3 linked regions of the Sus scrofa genome follow. The protein of the gene in region 1 purifies or fractionates together with the protein of each later gene. This does not show direct contact. Links are inferred from orthologs where the notes say so. Each region holds a gene or a part of one and is shown in the gene's direction. Other genes may lie near its edges. The genes, in order: LGALS3, SLC12A7 and SLC12A6.

Evidence for each region.
Region 2: the proteins of LGALS3 (region 1) and SLC12A7 purify together in Homo sapiens (affinity purification with mass spectrometry; 3 studies listed by BioGRID and IntAct, counting the BioPlex papers as one, with this or other methods). This does not show direct contact. The link is inferred for Sus scrofa from reciprocal best matches to the Homo sapiens genes LGALS3 and SLC12A7.
Region 3: the proteins of LGALS3 (region 1) and SLC12A6 purify together in Homo sapiens (affinity purification with mass spectrometry; 3 studies listed by BioGRID and IntAct, counting the BioPlex papers as one, with this or other methods). This does not show direct contact. The link is inferred for Sus scrofa from reciprocal best matches to the Homo sapiens genes LGALS3 and SLC12A6.

The regions. Positions count from the first base shown.
Region 1 is NC_010443.5:184,482,637-184,489,962, forward strand, and holds the start of LGALS3 (galectin-3), read left to right. Parts: upstream 1-3,490; 5' UTR 3,491-3,495; coding exon 3,496-3,513; intron 3,514-5,060; coding exon 5,061-5,414; intron 5,415-7,326. UniProt on the Homo sapiens protein: Galactose-specific lectin which binds IgE. May mediate with the alpha-3, beta-1 integrin the stimulation by CSPG4 of endothelial cells migration.
Region 2 is NC_010458.4:79,383,050-79,389,787, forward strand, and holds part of SLC12A7 (solute carrier family 12 member 7), read left to right. Parts: intron 1-210; coding exon 211-309; intron 310-634; coding exon 635-754; intron 755-1,506; coding exon 1,507-1,611; intron 1,612-2,020; coding exon 2,021-2,189; intron 2,190-5,788; coding exon 5,789-5,984; intron 5,985-6,370; coding exon 6,371-6,540; intron 6,541-6,617; coding exon 6,618-6,738. UniProt on the Homo sapiens protein: Mediates electroneutral potassium-chloride cotransport when activated by cell swelling. May mediate K(+) uptake into Deiters' cells in the cochlea and contribute to K(+) recycling in the inner ear.
Region 3 is NC_010449.5:80,236,786-80,243,523, forward strand, and holds part of SLC12A6 (solute carrier family 12 member 6), read left to right. Parts: intron 1-782; coding exon 783-877; intron 878-2,356; coding exon 2,357-2,488; intron 2,489-3,839; coding exon 3,840-3,986; intron 3,987-5,371; coding exon 5,372-5,426; intron 5,427-5,895; coding exon 5,896-6,026; intron 6,027-6,738.

The DNA.
Region 1 (7,326 bases):
TTGTAAACTGAAAAGCACCACACAAGTACAGGGTGTCATTATTCTAATGGGCTTGTCTAATGTGTCACAACACAATCCAAACTGTCATCGTTGGTGTTATGTGAAACACAGTGGAAATAAAGTGGAATCCGCTTTGTTTCTCAAATTGTTTTGCTTGGGAAAGAAACTGAATATGCTTGAACAGGGACTTTGAAAAGAATAAATGTTCAATTTTGAAAATGCTTTTTGTGTGTTTCTGATTGTGATTAGCCTTTAAACACATCTAAGTTTAATTGCAGTTTTGTTAATAAGACATACCATTAGCCAGTGGTACACATTTAGCTAGCTTGAACAATTGAAACTAACTTTCTGGGGTTTTTTTACCTGCATGTGTACATTTATATGGAGAGATACATGCTAATTAGCCTAGACCAGTGATTCTCAAAACAGGCAAAATTTTGCCCTCTTCCAGCCCTTTCCAGAGATATTTGGCAATGTCTTAAAACATTCTGGATGGGAGTTCCTGTCATGGCTCAGCAATAATAAACCTGACTAGTATCCATGAGGACTTGGGTTTGATCCCTGGGTCTGATCAGTGGGTTTGATCAGTGGATTAAGGATCCCACTTATTGCCATGAGCTGTGGTGTAGGCCAGCAGCTGTAGCTCCAATTCGACCCCTAGCCTGGAAACTTCCATATGCCGCAGGTGCGGCCCTAAAAAGACAAAAAAGATTCTGTATTATCACAACTGGAGTCAGTGCTCCTGGCATCATGTATGTTGAAGCCAAGGATGCTGCCAAACATACGACAATGCAGGGGACAGCCTCTCACTACAAAGTATCACATGTGAAATGTCAGTGGCACTGAGTTTGAGAATAAGCCTGTACACAATGGGGATATTTTAAAGAAGTGAAAACATAAAGTTATTGCTGAGTCTTTGGTGTGTTGCTCAGGAGTGGAAAAAGAATGTGTAATCAAAGGAATTAAGCTTTCTGCCCACTGTAAAGTTCAAGATCGTTTTTTATTGGCATCCAAAATGAGAAGCTTGATTTTCTTGACTTAAGAAATGTCTTTTCTGGAGTTTTCGTTGTGGCTCAGCAGTAATAAACCCGACTAGTATCCATGAGGATGTGGGTTCAATTCCTGTCCTTGCTCAGAGGGTCAGGGATCCAGCATTGCCTTGATCTGTGGTGTAGGTCGAAGATGTGACTTGGATCCCACGTTGCTGTGGTGTAGGCCAACTGCTATGGCTCCGATTTTACCACTAGCCTGGGAACTTCTATATGCTGTGGGTGCGGCTCTTAAAAGACTAATAATAATAATAATAATAAGTAGAAAATAATCTATTAAAAATGTCTTTTCCTTTTCTGTAACAACTCAAATTCCTCCTATAGTAGCAGCACAATTTTGTAAGCAGTGGCAGCCTTTTGGAGAAGGAAACACAGAACACCCAACTTCTGCTTTAAAAAAATCAAATACTGTATACTAAATACCGTGATTGTAAGCCCTGGAAGAGTATTACTATGACTTCCCAAATTGCCAGAAATTTCCACATTGGAAGCTGGGCACGGTGATGACCTGAGTGTTTCTAAATATGTTCGAGAATGCCCAGATTAAAAAGGAGATGTGCATAAAGAAAAAAGGGGTGGGGTAATATCTAACTCTTATAAAGAACAGCAGAGTAGAATAAAATACCTGGTGTTTAAATGAAGCACACATGAAGTTCTAGGAGCTCTGCTTGCTTGTTTTTTTAACCAAGAAATGTAGTATTTTACATTTTTAGAACTGTTAGTTTTGCTGAGGGAGGAACACGCAAGGCCTAGTTGATAAAGCAAGAGAGGTTTATTAAGGCATCAGAGGGGCACAGACTGAGCTCAAAATGGTGCCAGCCCTGACTGTATTGAGGTTCTAGGCTTATAAAGGATCTGTGGCTGGAGTTCACGGCAGGAACCTGTGGCAGGAACAATGAAGAAGAAGGAGGGGAAGGTCAAGGGAGGGGTAGGGGTTGAGTTCCATGACAGAGGGCAGTTAATCCTTACAGGTGGTTAATCTATGCGGGCAGTTGTTTTCTGCCATTGTTTCTTGCTGCCCAACTTGGGCATCCACATTCTGGGAGTGGTGTCCATGGCAGATCTCCAAGGTGAACAGCCATATTTGGGGGGTGGGAGGGGTTTGTTTCTGTCCTCTTGGGAGCCGATCAAGGAACCTAAGAACCCATCAAGTAGCCACCATTTATTGGTTCGTTTCTTCAAATAACAGAACTATGGCAAGTAAGCCACTTAAGGAAAAAGATTCTGATAGTTTTAAGATCCGGGTAATTTTGGCCATACCCAGCTGATCTTGAGTCAAGACAACTCATTCAGGCCTGAGGAGTCCAAAGCTGCCCTTCTGCCCTCATCACTAGAACACCAGCAGTGAGAGCAGGTGTAAAACATCCTGTTTGGTTGGGGACTTGGCACCTTGGCATGAGGGTGGGGACAGTGGACAGGATCAGCGCTGCTACCCTTTGGGGCAACGTTGGGCAAGGCTGACCCTCTTTTGTAACATCCTACCCAAAATGGTTTCCTCTGCATCGTCTGACCTTTTTTTTTTTTTAATTTCATTCATTTTACTGTGAGAGATTTCATTTGAAATAACAACTATTTTTTTAAAAAAGAAAAAAAGCAACTTGTGCCCATCTTTCCTCTTTATTGCTCCACATAACAGTCTCACCTTTCCTTCAAGGCTTAGCTCAAACAACACTGTCCTTTCCCTGTTGGAAGTAATCTTTCCAGTTGTGACTTCCCATGGCATGTGGTCTGGCCCACAGGGTCAATCACTTTCACCTCGTCTGGCCTGTGAAGGGACCATACATGTTGACTGCCTCCATCTTCAAACCCAGTTAGGAGCCCACAAGAGACATAAATGTATGCAAATGAAGGACTAAACCAACAGCAGCAACTACGTCTTGTGGGGGGAAAGTGGGGAATATAGGAATCAACCAACTGCTTTCCTCCTAAATCCCAGGGGAGGGCACGGGAACCCTGGCTTTTGTTCACCAGGGGAGTGGGCGGTGGGTGATATTAATGCACTGAACACTTTTTAGGAGGTGGTGGAAAGAGAGCACAGGAAGGAAGGTGAAGGGGGACCAAAGACAACCAGGACAAACACGTATTACCTAGGAAACTGTTTACTTTCACTCCTTCCCTCCCACCGGCAGCAGAGCATGGCTGTTACTCCCGTGATTCAGGCCACAGGCTCTTGTGATTAGAGTTTAGTTCTGAGTTAAATAGGGTGTGGCAATCCAGGCAGAGCACGACCCCGCCCCACGATGAAATGAGACATTTTTGTGGCTCCCCACTACTGACTTAGGTGTATTTGGGGACTAGACTGGCTTGTGTTAGAATCCCTGTAGATGGACTAGTCCTGCTTAGTGAGCTGTTTGTGACGTTATTCAGGCAGAAACCAAAAATCTTTCAGGATCAAATGATAACCTGTGGCTCTTTTTTTTTTTTTTTTCCTTCTCCTTTTAGGAGAATGGCAGACGGTTTTTCGGTAAGTGTCTTATGTCTGTTTTCCTACCTTCATGTGTAGACATTCATGCAGGTTGAGGGTTTTGTTTTGTTTGTTTTTCTTTTTCTTTTTAGTCACCAGAGTTTCCATCTAACTCTCCCACCACTCGTTAGCTGGAGTTGTGTTTTTCCAGCAACAAATTCAGGAAGAAAGCCAGGCAGAGAGGCCTGGGCCTCACTAACAGTAACCCCTTTACTGAACTGCCTAGGACAGAAGCGGGTGGATTCTGCTGGCAGGAGCTAAGAAATCCACTGAGCAATGGGCTGTCTCAGCATCCTGATTTTTTTCTTTAATACTGTGGTGCCCTCTACCCCTCCTCCCTTCCCAAATGCTGAACTAAGAAGCAGTCAAAATAAATTCCCATTAGTATTCCCAAATTAACAGAATGACTCACCCCACCTACAGCCATGAGTCTATTTTCCTAAATCCAGTTTACGTTTCCTCATCAAGCCCTCTGATTTTCTCTCCCCTTCCCCCAGGCCCCTGGGCTCCCTTTACAGCCTCGGCTTGTTGTTCTAATACCAGGTCTGGGCTTGGATTCCTAATGCATCAAAGGTTCAGACTGTCAGAGTTCCTAGGTGGCACAGTGGGTTAAGGATCTGGCATTGTCACTGCTGTGGTGTGGTTTCAATCCTTGGTCCGGGAACTCCTGCATGCCATGGGCATGGCCAAAAAAGAAAACAAAAAAACCCCAGAACACAAAAGATCAGACAATCCTAATGGATGATACTCAATCAACACAGCAATCTTTACTGAGTATCACGTAAATACCACATTACTCTGCTAAATACCATAGGAGACAGGAAGGGAGAAGGCAGTGTCTCTTCCTGGAGAGAAAGGACACCAACGAACACTGGCCCAGCACCTTGCAGTCTATACGGAGTCCTCCCAGATGCTGCCTCACTTGTTCATCCCAGTAATTTCGTGAAAGAGATCATTACTCCCATTTTACAAACAAAGACACTTAAGTTCTATCCAGGTAACATGATGTCTCCAAGCCTTCGGAGGTCTTGATGGATGGCACTGGATTTCAAACCAAATCTTATGACTCTATTTCCCAGGCCCCTCCCTGTGCACAAGGCAGCTTCTCCAGTTCTATCCTGGATGCCACTCATTAGCTGGAGTCGTGCAGCAGACACCCAGCAATGGGAAGGTCAAGGCAACCAGGGCCAGCTGGGTGGAGCTCTTGCAGCCCAAGAGCATCCTGATTTTGTGATTATTTTCCTCATGTCAGTGAGAACATATGTGCTTTTACATAGAGGATGGCTAGCTCCCAACTTCAGCAACTTAGGAAAAGGCAACCCTAATGATCTGAGATGATGGGAGGCAAGAATAAAGTGATAAAGCAGGTATAATCCCAAAGTCTAATTTTAGTCTTAGGAACTCAGTGAATAGGTGGGGAAATTTTATTCATAGGAAGTTCATAGCTTCACCCTATCCTTCTAATTCTTAGATTACATATTCCTATTTACCTGAAAATTCTGTTTTTGTGTTTTTCATCCTGTAATGGTTTATGTCTTTCTTTCCAGCTTAACGATGCTTTATCCGGGTCTGGAAAACCAAACCCTCAAGGATGGCCTGGTGCATGGGGAAACCAGCCTGCTGGGCCAGGAGGCTATCCAGGGGCTTCCTATCCTGGCACCTACCCTGGGCAGGGGCCTCCTGGTGCCTACCCTGGACAGGCACCTCCTGGCGCCTACCCTGGACAGGCACCTCCAGGGGCCTACCCTGGCCCAACAGCACCTGGTTATCCTGGCCCAGCCGCACCAGGAGCCTACCCTGGGCAACCAGGTGGGCCTGGCGCCTACCCGCCTCCTGCACAGCCAAGTGCTCCTGGAGCCTACCCTGCCACTGGCCCCTATGGTGCCCCTTCTGGACCACTGGTAAGAGGAATTGGTCATTTCACACACCTGGATATAGTGATAGGGACATAGCTAATGAAGAATGTAGCAATTGTCTGAGGTGGTGGTGCCATCACTTTGCAGTGCTCCCTGGGCCCTGACCTGCAAAGGGCTTCAGGGAGACTTGAAGCTTTCATCTCACTGCCTAGAACCGCTGTGCAACCACCAGCCACAGTGTATGTTGGTCCAGTAGAAAAGACTGTTGTTCCTGTTGAGTTTAAGCATGTGGACTGTTAGTACAAAGAGGAGCTAATGTATCTTTTGAAGGCATCTGTAAAGCAGCTTTAATATAAATCAAGTTAAGGTCATAGAAATGGGGGAGGTGTGGGTTGTTACTATTGTTAATAAACACTGGGTACGTAACGTGCCAGCTGTGTACCTCTTCATGGATGATCTCATTCAATCCCATAAGCTCCCCATAAAATACTATTGTTAAAACCACTTTACAAAATGAAGAAATGGTACAATAAAGAGTTAAACCACATTTCCATGGCCTTAGAGGGACCCTTTGAAGGACCCATGGTAATCTCATTTTTAAAAACCTTCTAAAGAGAATTTTGTGATCTAAGGGTTGAATTTTCATTTTATAGTAAAACCCATTTTAATAAATCAATTGTAAGCATAAAAATATAACTCTGTGGGATCCCAGACACATCTCAGACACAGATCCTTCCCTTCTAGATAGTCTAGTTGGGAGAAAATGTACTAATATGAGGAAATAGTTCAATAGTAGAGTGGGATCAGCCCCTTTCAGGATGTGATCCCACTATGATGGCACAGGAAGCATTTGATCTGCTTGTAGGTCAGCTTAGAGGAGAGAAGAGAGAGCGCTGGGGGCATGGGAGACTTTGAGCAGAGCTTGGACCAAAGACATGTAGTCAGCTGAGGCAAGGGGACAAGGGAGGCTGTGGAAAGGAAGAGGTGGATGGGGAGAGATTGCAGAGAAAAAAACCCCAGGATCTAGTGGTTAAGTCTTAGGAAGAGGTGGATGGGGAGAGATTGCAGCAGAAGAACCCCGGGATCTCATGGTTAAGTTTTAGGAGTCAGAGACAACTCTGGCTTTTTAAGGTTGGGCAAGGAGAGCACCAGCCAAAGGTCAGCCCAAACCAGGAACTCGGGAAGGGGACCAGATTGGGGAGGAGCAGGGGAGAAAATTCCAGTTCATACTGGTTGGATTTGCAGCACCAGTAGCAAAGCCAGACAAGGAGGAAGCACAGGTCTTGTACAGATCACGTCTAGAGAGAAAAGAGAGTTGGATGACGGTTGCTTGGGGGGAAGTAATTATTAAGGAAAAAGAGAAGAGGCCAAAGGCAGAGCATTGGGAATACTTACAGCACCTTGAACATAGATGGTCAATAGATATTTGCAGAATGAACTGGAGCATGTGTTAACTGGGAAGTGACCATTCCACAAATGTTGAGTACCTGCCACATTCAAAGCATTCCACTGGGCCTGTGTGAGTGGACCATAGGAGACCTCAGAAGCCCAGAAGATGCCACAGTGTCTGCCTTCAGGAGGCAGAATAACCACAGTGAATCATGTTGGATGAAAAGGATCTTAAGAGTGGCACAAAAATGTTGATTGCAAGGCCTAACTTAAGCCTTCTCATAAAGTAAGCTAATGCATGAGTTTTATATTGTAATGGCCCTCATCATGAGAGATCCAGTGCTCCCAAAGGGGACATGGTCTGCCTTTGGTAGCAATTAATGGATGACCTTATTCTCAATTATTAGTTGTAGTTGTGTAGGGAATCTTCTCTTCAGGCCCTGGGCAAGCTGGCCTAAGAGTCTGAAAAGACGGCTTTCAGCAGGGTTATATGTTATTCACACATATTAATAGTGGTTAAACTTTAGCAACATCTTTTTCTTTCTTTCCTCAAGAAAATATGACTCCT
Region 2 (6,738 bases), on another chromosome or scaffold:
GCTTGTCGGCCGCCGGAGGCCTCTGCTCCTGGGCTCGCCTCCTGCTCAGGGGACAGCAGAGCGCCAGGCGCTCGTGCCTGCGCGTGCGGAGCGGGGCGGGGTGGTGGGACGGCTGCGTAGGGAAGAGGGATGGGGCTCCCGGGCGTGGGGGCAGCGTGGGCGCCCCCTTGGGACCGGGCTCAGCCCCTCATGCTGAGCTGGCGTCCCCAGGTTTTTCCTCATGTGCTACATGTTCGTGAACCTGGCCTGTGCTCTGCAGACCCTGCTGCGCACGCCCAACTGGCGCCCTCGCTTCAAGTATTACCACTGGTGAGCCCGGTCCCCGCCAGGCCAGCTGCCGCCTGGGTCCCCGGTCGTCCCCTGTGGAAGGAGCCCAGTGGGTTGGTGAGGGCGCCGGGTCTCCGTGTGCCCAGTGTGCCTGGCGCCCTGGCGGATGCGTGAAGCCCGTTGTTGGTGCCCAGCGGGGTGGCGTCCGCCTTTGGGGTGGTGCCAGGGGAGGAGCGGAGGAGCACCTGGCTGTGTTCCTGTACGAACAGAGGGTTCCTGCGGAGGGACGGGACGTTTCAGGGCCCCTGCTCGGACGCCAGCTTGGGGCTGGCGGGGAGGCATGGCCCCACGAGCTCTGTGTCCCCAGGACCCTCTCCTTCTTGGGCATGAGCCTGTGCTTCGCCCTGATGTTCGTGTGCTCCTGGTACTACGCCCTCTTCGCCATGCTCGTGGCCGGCTGCATCTACAAGTACATCGAGTACCGCGGGTGAGCCGCGACGCCGGGGTCCCCACAGCCCGGCGCTGGGGGCCTCCCCGGGGCAGGTGCACGGGGCCCTCTGGTGACCGAGCCGGCGAAGCCCGCCTCCCCTGCCGGCCGTTCAGGGTTCCTGCCTGTGAGTCTAGTGCAAGGAGAGCGCGTTTGCTGCGGTTAAGGGGCCGCACGACTGTCCCGCGTTCGTCTCGACGTACCCGCAGGTTTAGCCGTGTCAAAGTGTGAAGGACTGTGCTTTGGGGCTTTGAAATCCAGCTGGTGACGCACTGCTGCGTGGTGGGTTTCAAAATTCCCAGGAAGTACACCGCACCAAACCGCAGTTGTGGGCAGGTTGGCTGCAGCCCAGAGCCCCTGGTCCACCACGAGGGGCGTGTCCCCCGAGGCCCTGGCCCCTCGGGGCGGCGGGGGCCCTGGGGGCACTGCCTCAGGTCCCCTCCCAGCTCTTCCAGGTGGCCATCCAGGGTCTGGGGACTGTGCTGCTCCTGCTGGTGCCCAGCCACCGCCTGCCACCGGAGTCCCCTCCCTTTGTCTGTCCATGGCCTTGGCTCTGAGGCCCCTCACGGTGCCCGCGCCACCCCCACCCAGTGCCCCTCCCCACGTCCTGCTCCTTCCTGTCCCTGGTCGGCCTCGGAAGCCCCCTGCGCTGCCCCAGAAGTGCTGAGAGACCCCAAGGGCCTCCCCGGGGCTGCCCGGGTACCAGCTGGATGTGCTGCGGGGAGGGCTCACGGCTGCCCCTACCCACCCAGGGCCGAGAAGGAGTGGGGCGACGGCATCCGGGGGCTGTCGCTGAACGCCGCCCACTACGCCCTGCTGCGCGTGGAGCATGGCACCCCCCACACCAAGAACTGGAGGTGAGTGCCCACCCTCACGCCCTTTGAGCCCACGGGCGTGTCCGTCCCCAGGCTTGGTGGCAAGAAGCTCACCCCCAGTTAGGTTGTCAAGGAAGCTGCCATGGCCTTGTTCATGGTGCTTCCCCCCCCATCACCGCCCTCCCCGCGCGTGATCAGCTCGATCTGATCGTTGGTTGAGGAGACATTGCGAGGGTGGAGGTGGGGGATTGGGGTGAGGTCATCTTTGGGGACCTGCTGTGGACAGAGGACACCTGCCAGGCTTCTCGGGTCTGGGAGGGGGTGGGGAGCTGCCCCTCTGAGCTGCCCCGTGCTGGAGGCCCCTTGCCCTCCATCCCCCGGGCAGAGGTGGGGGGGCGCGCCTGCCGAGTGCAGTGTCCCGTCGTCATGGTAACCGCTGCTCCCCACCCAGGCCGCAGGTGCTGGTGTTGCTGAACCTGGACGCCGAGTGGCGCGCGAAGCACCCCCGCCTGCTGTCGCTCACCTCGCAGCTCAAGGCCGGCAAGGGCCTGACCATCGTGGGCTCCGTGCTGGAGGGGACCTTCCTGGACCAACACGCAGAGGCCCAGCAGGCCGAGGAGGTGGGGCTGGGCGCCAGCGTGTGGGGGTTCGAACGAGCAGGATGGAAACCTGCTGGGAACGTCTGCCGTGCGAGGCCCGGGCGCCCGTGACCCTCGGGGACGCCGTCGGGCATCGAGAGTGGCCGCGGGGGGCCAGTCCCTGCTCGTTTGCTTCGGCAGCGGAGGACAGAGGGTGAGCGGGGCGCATGTGCCGGCGCCTCCCGCCCTGGGTCCTGGCACAGACCCGCCGCACAACATCTTTTCATCCCAAACGCCGAGTCTGTCTCTGCAACGGCATCCGAACGGCATCCCCACTGTCGCCCAGTCCCCAGGCCGCGTCCAGACCCCCGCTTGCCTCCAGCCCAGCTCCGTGTCAGCCGGGCCGCGTCTCTGGGTGTCGCTCTGGGTGGGCCCCTCGCCTGCATCCTGCATCCAGGCGTCCGGGGCACCCCTGCTGTCTGTGGGGCTGTGAGCCGGACTGCATCACAGCCAGGCCTTCCCGGGTGGGCACGGCTGCTCCAGGGGGTTGTGGCCGGCAAAACCCGGTGCATCAACACCCCCTCCGGTCAGCTGGCCCGCCGGCCCCGCGGGGCCTGGGTGGCTGGTTCAGGGCGCCCGTTGCATCCTTTCCTTGTCTCTCCAGAGGCGCTGGCCGTTCTCTGACCCGGGGGTTTAACGTGGCCACTGCTCGCCTGGGCCTGGGTGTGCACACTGGGGTTGTGGCTGTGAGCCTGGCTGTAGACGTGGCATGTTGCCCTCGCGATGTGCTGGCGGGCAGCCTCTTAGCTGGTGCCCTAGGCCTCTCGGTGGCTCCTTGCGTGCGTGGCGAAGCTCAGGCTCACCTTGTGCGTTTCCTGCTTTGACCCGTTTCCAAGGGCGGGAGGGGCCTGGTTCTCATGTCTGACTGTGGCCTCTGGCCCCCGGGGGCGACACACTTGTGGCTCCTTTTGTCCCCCAGCATTTCCAGGGAACCGGGAGGCAGAGCCGGCGGGGGGCAGACAGGCACCCGGCCACCAGCTCCGAGTGTGCATCGGGGGCTCCGAGCTTGTGCAAAAGGGCACTGACGTGGCTCAATTCACAGCCTTTTCCAGACGCGAGTGTTGTCATCTGATGTGTTCTTCTGGGTATTTTCCTGTTGCCGTTTTGCACAAACAATCCTGCAGAACACATTCGGCTCACACACTCACGTGCTTCCAAGCCGTGTCTTCCGGTTGGCTGGGTGCCTGATTCGTTTCCTACGGCTGTGTGGTGTTTGTTGCCGGGTGCTCTGAGGTTTGTTCCACGAAATTGTGGTTCCTGAAACGGCGGGGGTTCCATCACTGTCAGGTCAGGAGCGTGGTGGTGTAAGTGACTGCAGACCTGCCTTGTCCACGAGAGGCTGCTTTTAGGACAAGTTCTCAGGGCTGGAGCTCCCTTGGGGCCTGGCCTCCGAGGGTCTGGCCAAGGTCAGCTCTTGCCTGCCTGGCAGTGTATGTAAACTCAGGTCCGCGTGGCCCGTGGGCATGGGGGGCTCAGGCCCGCTGTGTGTCTCTAACGGGAGGGCCGGGTCCCGTGGCCGCCGCGGAAGAGGGGGAAGCCTCGTGGAGGGGGCACGGCCGGGCTCCACCCCAGGGGCTCAGCAGGGGTGAGGCTCGGGGCCGTGTGTGTCACCAAGGGCAAGGGCTGGGTGGAGGCACTCGCTGGGGTTTCCAAAGGGGAGGACCCCCGGGGTGTCACGGTCAGGTGCACGCACAGCATCTCACTTGCAGGAGGCACCCACCTGGCTCCCACCTGCTTCGACTTTGGTTAGTGACTGAGGCGGGGGCCTCCTGAGGGGAGGCCCTGCTGCTTCCCACCGGGATCGCGGCTCTCGATCTGGTGGAAGGAGGGCGGCCGAGAGGGTCAGCCAGGGTGCAGGCAGGGCCACGCGCCTGCTTCCTGGGGCGGGGCTGAGGCCCATCTGCTGGGGTCAGAGAAGCCCCTCACGCTGACCCCAGGTTCCGCAGGGCCTTGTCTTGGGGACCCAGGGCCGGGCATGGAGCAGGGGCTGCAGAGGTTGAGGCGGCCCCCGAAACCCCACAGGGCGGTGAGGTGGGTTTTCCATCAGCGTGACTGGAGGACCCCAAACCCATGGTGGCTCCTTGAAGCTGTTGCATCGGGTCAGCCTTTCCTAAGCCAGTGACCTGAGAGCTGTGGTCTCAAAGTGGGGACATGTGGCATTTAAAGCCCCCGGAGTGGCCACCTCCTGACCCGGCTGAGCCCCTGTGCTCTGGCCTCTGGGCAGCGTGGGCCCCGCGAGCCCTGAACTGCATTTCGACCGCACTGAGGCCACCCCGTGTCACGTCCGAGGATGGGTCTGGACTCTTCCTTCTCCAGCCGCCTCGCCCTTCGATGTGGTGGCAGCTCAGGCCGGGTGGTTGAGGGGACGTGGCTCCAGCCCTTGCCACGAGGTCCTGGGACGGCCGGAACAAATACCCATCCCTTTTGTCCCAGCTCTGGGGCCAGATCCAACATGGAGGGGCCCAGGGCCGCCCTGTCCCGAGCTCAGAGCAGGTTTCAACTGCCTTTTCCAGCTGCTGGGGCTCCAGGCGGCCCTGAGCTCATGGCCCCTCCCTCTCATCTCTGCCTCTGTCTTCTCGTGGCTTTTTCTCAGTGTCTGTGTCTCGTCTGTCCCTTTGAGGACACTGCCATGGGACCTGGGGCCGCCTGGGCAATCCAGGATGGTTTTGTGTCAAGACGCCTAACTCACTCAAGATCTCTCCTGGAGGCCATGCTCCCAGGTTCTGGATTAGGACGCGGGCATATCTTTCAGGGCCAAGGTCAGCCCACTGTGGTCTGTCCTCTGGGCCCCAAGCTGCCCCTGCGTCTTCCACGTAAAAGCATGTGTCTTGTCTCGGTGTCCCCCGGGTCCCAGCCCCTCACACTGTCCGCCAAGCCCCAGATCTCGTCTTCTGCCCACCTGGCTCAGGTGCTGGGACATCCCGAGGGGCATCCACCTCCCATGTGACGTGGAGGCAAAGGGCCCTGTGGGACCTGCGCCAGGCCGTCCCAGCCCGGGAGGCGCAGGCCGGAGGAGGCGGCCACGTGGGCTCCAGCAGGGCTGTTCCGCCTGTGTCAGCCCTTCCCTGTGGTTCACAGCTGCATCGGGGGGGCCCCGAGTCAGGCCCCAGGGGCCGGTCAGTGTGGCCGGGAGGGGACCAGCAGGCACAGGTCCTTAGCGAAAGGCCCGCTGTCGTCACTGTGTGCCCGGCCTCCCCGTGACGTCCAGCTGCCCTGGGTCGGATGCCTGGCGCGTGGCCGAGGGGCAGAGCTGCACACGCCCGGCCTGTCGCTCCTGAACCTCCAGGCCCCTCGGTCCTGGTCGGGAGCGCTGTTGGGTGGATGCGTGCTGGCCGGGGGTCCGCAGACCAGGAGTAATGGACCCGGGGTCCGCGTGGAAGGGTGGGGGGGTCCGTGACCTCGCAGGTCCGAGAGTGCCTGCCGCGTGACTGCCCCACCTTCCCGAGGGCAGGGAGCACACACACGTGTGCTCGCGTGCGCATGCGTGTACTCACGTGCACACGCAGGCGGCCCTAGTCTGGACCCCGGGACCGAGGGTTGGGGTTACCCTGACCCCTGATCCTGCGCCCCTGCGTCCGCAGAACATCCGGGCCCTGATGGCGGCCGAGAAGACCAAGGGCTTCTGCCAGCTGGTGGTGTCCCCCAGCCTGCGCGACGGCGTGTCCCACCTGATCCAGTCGGCCGGCCTGGGGGCCATGCGGCACAACACGGTGCTCATGGCCTGGCCCGCAGCCTGGAAGCAGGGGGACAACCCCTTCTCCTGGAAGAACTTTGTTGGTGAGTCTCAGGGCCCCGGGCTGGGAGTCCGGGCCTCGATTGGGGTGTCGGGGCCCTGGGCTGGGTGTTGGGGTCCCAGGCTGGGTCTCAGGGCCCCGGGCCAAGAGCTGATCCCTGGGGGCCGCTGGGGGCCCTGGCTGCGCTGCTTCTCGAAGAGCCAGCCGACGTTCAGGAGCCTTGAGACGGGGCCATTTCCCTTGGCCCTGCCCTTCTCTGGCGACTCCCAGGGGCGCCAGCCGGGCCGCGGAGCGATGGGGGCGGCTGCACCCCATGTGGGGCTCTGTGTGGACCCCAGGCCCGCCCACCCCAGTCCCTGGCGGGGGCCCTGAGTCCAGGTGCCCAGTCGTGCAGGGTCTGTGACCCCTGGCCCGCCTGCCCCTCTGCAGACACCGTGCGCGACACCACGGCGGCGCATCAGGCCCTGCTGGTGGCCAAGAACGTGGATCTGTTTCCGCAAAACCAGGAGCGCTTCAGCGACGGGCACATCGACGTGTGGTGGATCGTGCACGACGGGGGGCTGCTCATGCTGCTGCCCTTCCTGCTGCGGCAGCACAAGGTGGGGCCCGGGGGCAGGGGGCGCCCCCGGCGGGCCCCGGGGCAGGGGCCGCGGCGACCGTGCCATGCCTTCCGCAGGTGTGGAGGCGCTGCCGCATGCGCATCTTCACGGTGGCCCAGGTGGACGACAACAGCATCCAGATGAAGAAGGACCTGCAGACGTTTCTGTACCACCTCCGGATCAGCGCCGAGGTGGAGG
Region 3 (6,738 bases), on another chromosome or scaffold:
CCAGACTATGATAACTATGTAACTTTTATACAATAAAGAATGAAAGTTAAGTAAGCAGTCAACATAAACTACTAAGACCTAATCTTTTTTTCTTTTTCCTTATAGCTAGTTCACCAAATTCTTGCAGGGTTCCTCTTTTAGGATAAAAGAACACCCTGGTGGCTCATCAGGTTAAGGATCCAGTGTTGTCACTGCTGTGGGGCCTGTTCCATTCCTGGCCCAGGAACTTCCCAGTGTCTCAGGCACAGTCAAAAAAAAAAAAAAAAAAAAAAAAAAAAAAAAAAAAAACCGTAAACAGATAATGTGGCAACTGTTAGTACAAAAATAATACTAGGGTAAGTGACCTAATGTCATTTATAAAAGGACAGACAGCCGTGAAGGCAGAGGGCTTTTACTGCTGTTATCAACAGTAGCAGTGTGTAAAGTATCCTTGATACCCTGAGGAAGTACTCAATGATTGTTCTATTTTTTTTTTCCATCCTAGATTTGGGCTCTGTTAATAGTAGGGTCCCCATAGGCTAGACTCCTAAAAGAATAGTGTTTCCAGAGGTCTTCATGTTGTTAAGAAAAGGAATGAGCCATATTTACTTCTTAGAGATTTGCTTTTGCTCCTGTTCAAGAATCACATTCTCCAAACAGTGCTGGTTGAGTTCTCCCATTCTGAGATGAAAATTTGAATGTAAAAATGGGTTCTGTTTTTACAGAGCTGATATGGAATTATTTGGTGCTGATGCTTCTTCAATACTAGTGAGAAACTAACTTGGTTTACTTTTATTTTCCAGATGATGGGCATAAGAAAGCTCGAAATGCTTATCTTAACAATTCCAATTATGAAGAAGGAGATGAATATTTTGATAAAAATTTGGCACTCTTTGAGGTAATATTTGGGAGGAACAGGGCATAGATTTTAAGAACAGAGATTTCAAGATTGCTGTTTTCCCACCCCATTTAGTTTTAAAACATTGTAGGTTGGATTCCTTAATAACTAGCTGTTAAAGTATAGTGCTTATTATAGCTTGTCATTGTAGTTGATTTAATCTATATAATTATTGTTGATTAATAGATAATCATTTAATCAAATTTCCATGGAGTAAAGAGGAGAAATGTTGACATCACAGGCATATGGAGAACTTTGTTATCTAACTCAGCTAGGATTTAAATGTTTATATTGGAAAAATCTACTAAGTATAAAGCATTTTTCAACTCTGTGTTTGGGATGACTGTCATTTATCTTACTAACCCAAAGTCAGAGTAGGAAGCAGGCTGCTGGATTTTTTTTTTTTTTTCCTTGGTCTTTTTAGGGCCGAACCTGAGGCATATGGAGGTTCTCAGGCTAGGGGTCCAGTTGGAGCTGTGGCCACTGGCCTACATCATAGCCACAGCAATGCGGGATCCAAGCCACGTCTGCTGCAGCTCACAGCAACACCGGGTTCTTAATCCACTGAGCAAGGCCAGGGATCAGACCCACATTCTCATGGATAGTAGTCGGGTTCATTAAGTGCCAAGCCATGATGGGAACTCCAGGCTGCTGGATTCAGAGGACTTGCTAATGCCTTATCTGACTAAGACAGCATGAACTCTGATATTCTGTGGCCAGGTTGAAAGGAGCCTAGTTTAGTTCAGCACTGCCTTTGTCTTACTTTGGACAATGACTCAAGTGCCACTTTTCTCAGTGTACCTATTTTTTAAATGTTATTTTATCTGCCTTCAAGAAAAGGTCTGAGGTGAATATTTGATTCAATCACAAGTTTTCTTTTGATCTGTGCATGCTTGGTACCATGAATAATTGCTATAAATATTAGTAGACTGTTAGTATCACTGTGCTTAAAGATTATGTTATCGGTGTTCTTTATAAGGACTACAACTATCTGTAGGAGCCCATGTAGTTTTGCTTTTATGGTAAAGTTAAGCTATTAGGAATAATAAAGCTTTTCATTTGAGAATTTTATAAGGGAGTTCCTGCTGTGGTGCATTGGGTTAAGGATCTGACTGCAGCAGCTCAAGTCACCAAGGAGGCATGGGTCTGATACCTGGCCAGGGACAGTGGGTTAAAGGGGCCAGTGTTACCTGAGCTGCAGGGTAGGTGGCAGCTGTGGCTCGGCTTCAGTCCTTGGCCTGGGAACTTCCATATGCCATGGATGTAGTCCAAAAAAAAAAAAGTGTTTCATAAGTATTTGTGTAGCCCTGATTATGTATTATAATATGTGGGGCAAACAGTCTCATCAATAAATTTTCTTAAAATGTTTACCTATGAAATTTTTCTCATTTACTTTGTAACTTTCTGGTAGAGGGATCATTTTTATGCTTATGTACAGTGTCTTCATCATGTATTTCATTCGTATTTCTGGCTTTATAGGAAGAAATGGACACCAGGCCAAAAGTGTCTTCTCTCCTCAACCGGTTGGCCAATTATACTAACCTGACACAAGGAGCAAAAGAACATGAAGAGGCAGAGAACATCACTGAAGGGAAAAAGAAGGCCACCAAGGTGAGGCCTTAGAATAACAAAGATAAATAAAAGGAGCCCAATATTATAATAAAGGAGATATCCAGGCCATCACTCTATGTGCAAGAATGCTTGATATGTGCCAGGCCCGAGAGGTAGTGAGCCATGTAAAACAGTTGGGGGGCAGTGTTCCAGGGAGATGGAATATCACACCAGAAGAAAAGTATCTCACCCAGCATTGCCTCCTGGTGCAGTGGGTTAAGGATCCAGTGTTGTTACTGCTGTGGTACGGGTTTGGTCCCTGGCCCACGGACTTCCACATACTATGGGTACAGACAAAAAAATGAGAAAAGAAAATTGGCCATATCCATCCACTGACGCCATGTCTCTATGGTGAAGTTGTTGGGCTTTTTAAGACCAAATACCAGTTTCTCTCAACATGAAAATATGGGATAGTATTACAAGTTAGTTTTCTGGTTGTTCAGGAGTAAAGTGACACTCAGATCTTCATTTTTTATCAATTACATTTACCACCTGCTATGAAAGATTTATGCCAAATTCTAACAGAATTCCATCAAGTCATTATTCCATTTAAAAAAAAGAACAGAAAGAGCCATTGGCTTTGAAGAGAAAAAATTTTAAATTATTGAAGATGCACTTAAAAGTTTGTTTGTGGCACAGTTGGATCAGTGGCGTCTTGGGAGTCCCGGGACACAGGCTTGATCCCTGGACTGGCACAGTGGATCAAGGATCCAGCATTGCTGCAGCTGCAGTTTGGATCTGATCCCTGGCCTGGGAACTCCATATGCAGTGGGGCAGCCAAAAAAAAGAAAAAAAAAAAGTTTGTGATCAAATGTCTGTGTAAAAATATGTGGAGACTTATGTAAAATAAAAATGTGTGTCTGGAGTTCCCGTCGTGGCGCAGGGGTTAATGAATCTGACTAGGAACCATGAGGTTGCTGGTTCGGTCCCTGCCCATGCTCAGTGGGTTAACGATCTGGCGTTGCCGTGAGCTGTGGTGTAGGTTGCAGACACGGCTCGGATCCCACATTGCTGTGGCTCTGGCGTAGGCCAGTGGCTACAGCTTTGATTCGACCCCTAGCCTTGGAACCTCCATATGCCTCGGGAGCGGCCCAAGAAATAGCAAAAAGACAAAAAAAAAAAAAAAATGTGTGTCTCTAGGAATAATAAAGGGTATAGTGATAGAAATTTGTTAAGATGGAGATTTTATATGTGCCTGTTTAAAGATAGTGCTTAAATTTATCTCTACTTTGCAATTCATATGCAGTTCATAGTTAGGGTGCAAGTTTTTATATAAAAATAAAGGGATAAAAGCATCACTTCTAGATGATGACTATATGATTTTTTCTTTCATCAACATCTTTCTTTCTAGACCCCCCAAATGGGTACCTTCATGGGTGTCTACCTCCCATGTCTACAGAATATTTTTGGAGTGATCCTGTTTCTACGCCTTACATGGGTGGTGGGCACAGCTGGAGTTCTGCAGGCCTTTGCAATTGTCCTTATCTGCTGCTGCTGTGTAAGTCCCAAGTTGGCTCCTGGAGATCACCTGGAACACTGCTCAAGCTCGAGTATCATGCTTGGCCTCTTTGAGAATAAAACAAAGAATACATACTGGGGAAGGACTTGCCATCTCAACAGGAGAGATTATTTTGATATTAAAATCTAAAGGATCTTCAATTACTTAGTGTCAGTTATTTACTGTTTATAATATGATATACTTGAAATTACAAAGAAGGACTTCTATAAGAAGGAGAAGATACAGGTTCTGACTTCCAAAAATTCAGATACAAACTATTTGAGCTTGATAATACCAATGTTGTGACAGAAAATGTGTTAGAAAACATGATATGCTTACTCCAGTATAGTGAAGATTAACAAAACTGATTGTTGTTTGGAAATGAGAGGTATTTGTTTTGTTTTGAAGTCTCATCCATTGTCCTTTCCCCAGAAATTTGGGTATTGTTTCCAGATCTTCTCTTCACTACACTGAGAACATTCTGAACTTCCTTTAATTTAAACTTCTCTTATCTGTGTATCCCAGCCACATCTCTCAATTTTATTGTAAGTTGATTATTATAAATTTTTTAATTTCATTATTCAGCTGTCTACTGACCTTTTATTACTATCACCATCATACACTCCCTGTGCATTGTGCTCAGCTGAGTATTGTGCAAAGCAGGGTAAGGAGACATAGTCCATGTTGTTAGTAACTTAATGATACCACCATTTTTTTTTCAGTTTCTTAGTCTTGAAACTTCAGGGCCCTATTTGGTTCCTTGATTGCCTCTCACATCTCATGAGCTATCAAGACCAATCAAATCAAATCTCCCTCTGAAATCTCTTTCGTTCAACCCTTTCTTTATACTCCTACTTCTGCCACTGCAGTCCTTCCCTCTCTCTGAACTACAACAATAGCCTACTAACAAGTCACTCTGCCTCCATCTACTCCCTATCTGCAGTCCATTCTGTACTCTGCTACTACCAGGTAATGTTTTAAAATACAGTTCTTATGAGCTGGGCAGTCTTTAGTGGTTTCCCTTCTTACTGAATGTTGTTCTTGTTATTGTAGCCAGTCTTTAGTCAGTTTCTAATCTGTTTTCTGAGTTTTCAATTTAGGAGACCGGGACTAGATGAGTGGTTCTTAATAGCACCTAACCTACTGATTACAATATAGGAGTATTTTAGCAGAATTCTCCCGATACTAGTAGTATGATTGAAGCACATCAGTGCGTCAAAGCACATCATCTCATTTCCATGAAATTCGGTATGACAGGCAACCGCTTCCGTAAAAGTAGATAGAATTAGATGTTCGATCAGTGCTCTGAGGTCTGCAAATGGGAAAGTAGTATAGAAATACCATCTTTATACAGTAACGGTCTTCTCCTTTCCCTTTCTTTACAGACAATGTTGACTGCTATCTCCATGAGTGCCATTGCCACTAATGGAGTGGTGCCAGGTCAGTAGCTAAGACTGGATTTCAGAGATTGTATATTTATGCTGTAATGAGGCGTAAACTTCCAAGGAACAGAATACTAATTAGTATGTTGGCCATAGGCACTAACACTACTTGACTTTAGAATACCTTCTTTAAAGAAATCTCTTTATGTTTTAAGATTAAAAATCCCTTATTTCTGTTGCATTCTTAGCTTCTTTTCATTAGAATATATGTTTTATTCTGCTGTCTCATGCGTGTAATAATCCTCTGCTATTTTTTAAGTAATACTGACAAATTGTGCTGCTTTATATGGAGCATATTAGATGTGTCGTTTAAAGGTTTCATCTTTTACTTCCTACTAGGAAATCTGCTTTTTATCACATTTAGGGTTTTCAAAAGTCTGAATCAGTTATCTTCCTTCTTTATGACTTGCTGACTTTCCTAATACTAACATACTTTTTTTATCCTGTTCTTCTGTTGTGTCTTTTAGCTGGGGGCTCATACTTTATGATATCCCGAGCACTGGGCCCAGAGTTTGGTGGGGCTGTTGGCCTCTGCTTTTATCTTGGTACCACGTTTGCAGCAGCCATGTACATCCTTGGTGCCATTGAAATTTTTCTGGTGAGTAATGATTTAATTGTGGTTTACAGTGTAGAAAATATATAGATTTGAATGTATTTTTTTCTTTGGTATCAAAACTTCTGGAGTTCCTATGGTGACTCAGCAATAACGGACTTGACTAGTATCCATGAAAATATGAGTTTGTTCCCTGGCCTCACTCAGTGGATTAAAGATCTGGCATTACCATGAGCTGTAGTGTAGGTCGTAGATGTGGCTCGGATCCCATGTTGCCATGGCTGTGTGGTAGGCCGACAGCTGCAGCTCTGATTCAACCCCTAGCCAGAGAACTTCCTTATGCCGTTAGTGCAGCCCTAAAAAGACCAAAAAGAAAAAAGAGATGGAATTAATCAGATGACTGACTGTTAACCTGTTATTGATCACCAACTATAAACATGAGTCTGAAAGATGGAGGTATCCCTTGCTTGCCTACTCATTCTGCATCACCCTACCACCTTGACCCCAAAGATGAAGTCTCAGAGGCAAGACTTGGCTAATGGAGGAAAAGTAAAATAAAGTTTATCTTTTTTGATGTCTATCCCAATGAAATAAAATATTCTTTAGTTATTCACTGAGAGGTTTAGAGTAATGATAGCAGAAATAGGACTTAAGGTAATCATTACAATTATTTTGTATAACACTTTTTATAAAAAGTTTTATTGAAGTATAGTTGATTTACAATGTTGTGATAATTTCTGCTATTCAACAGAGTGAT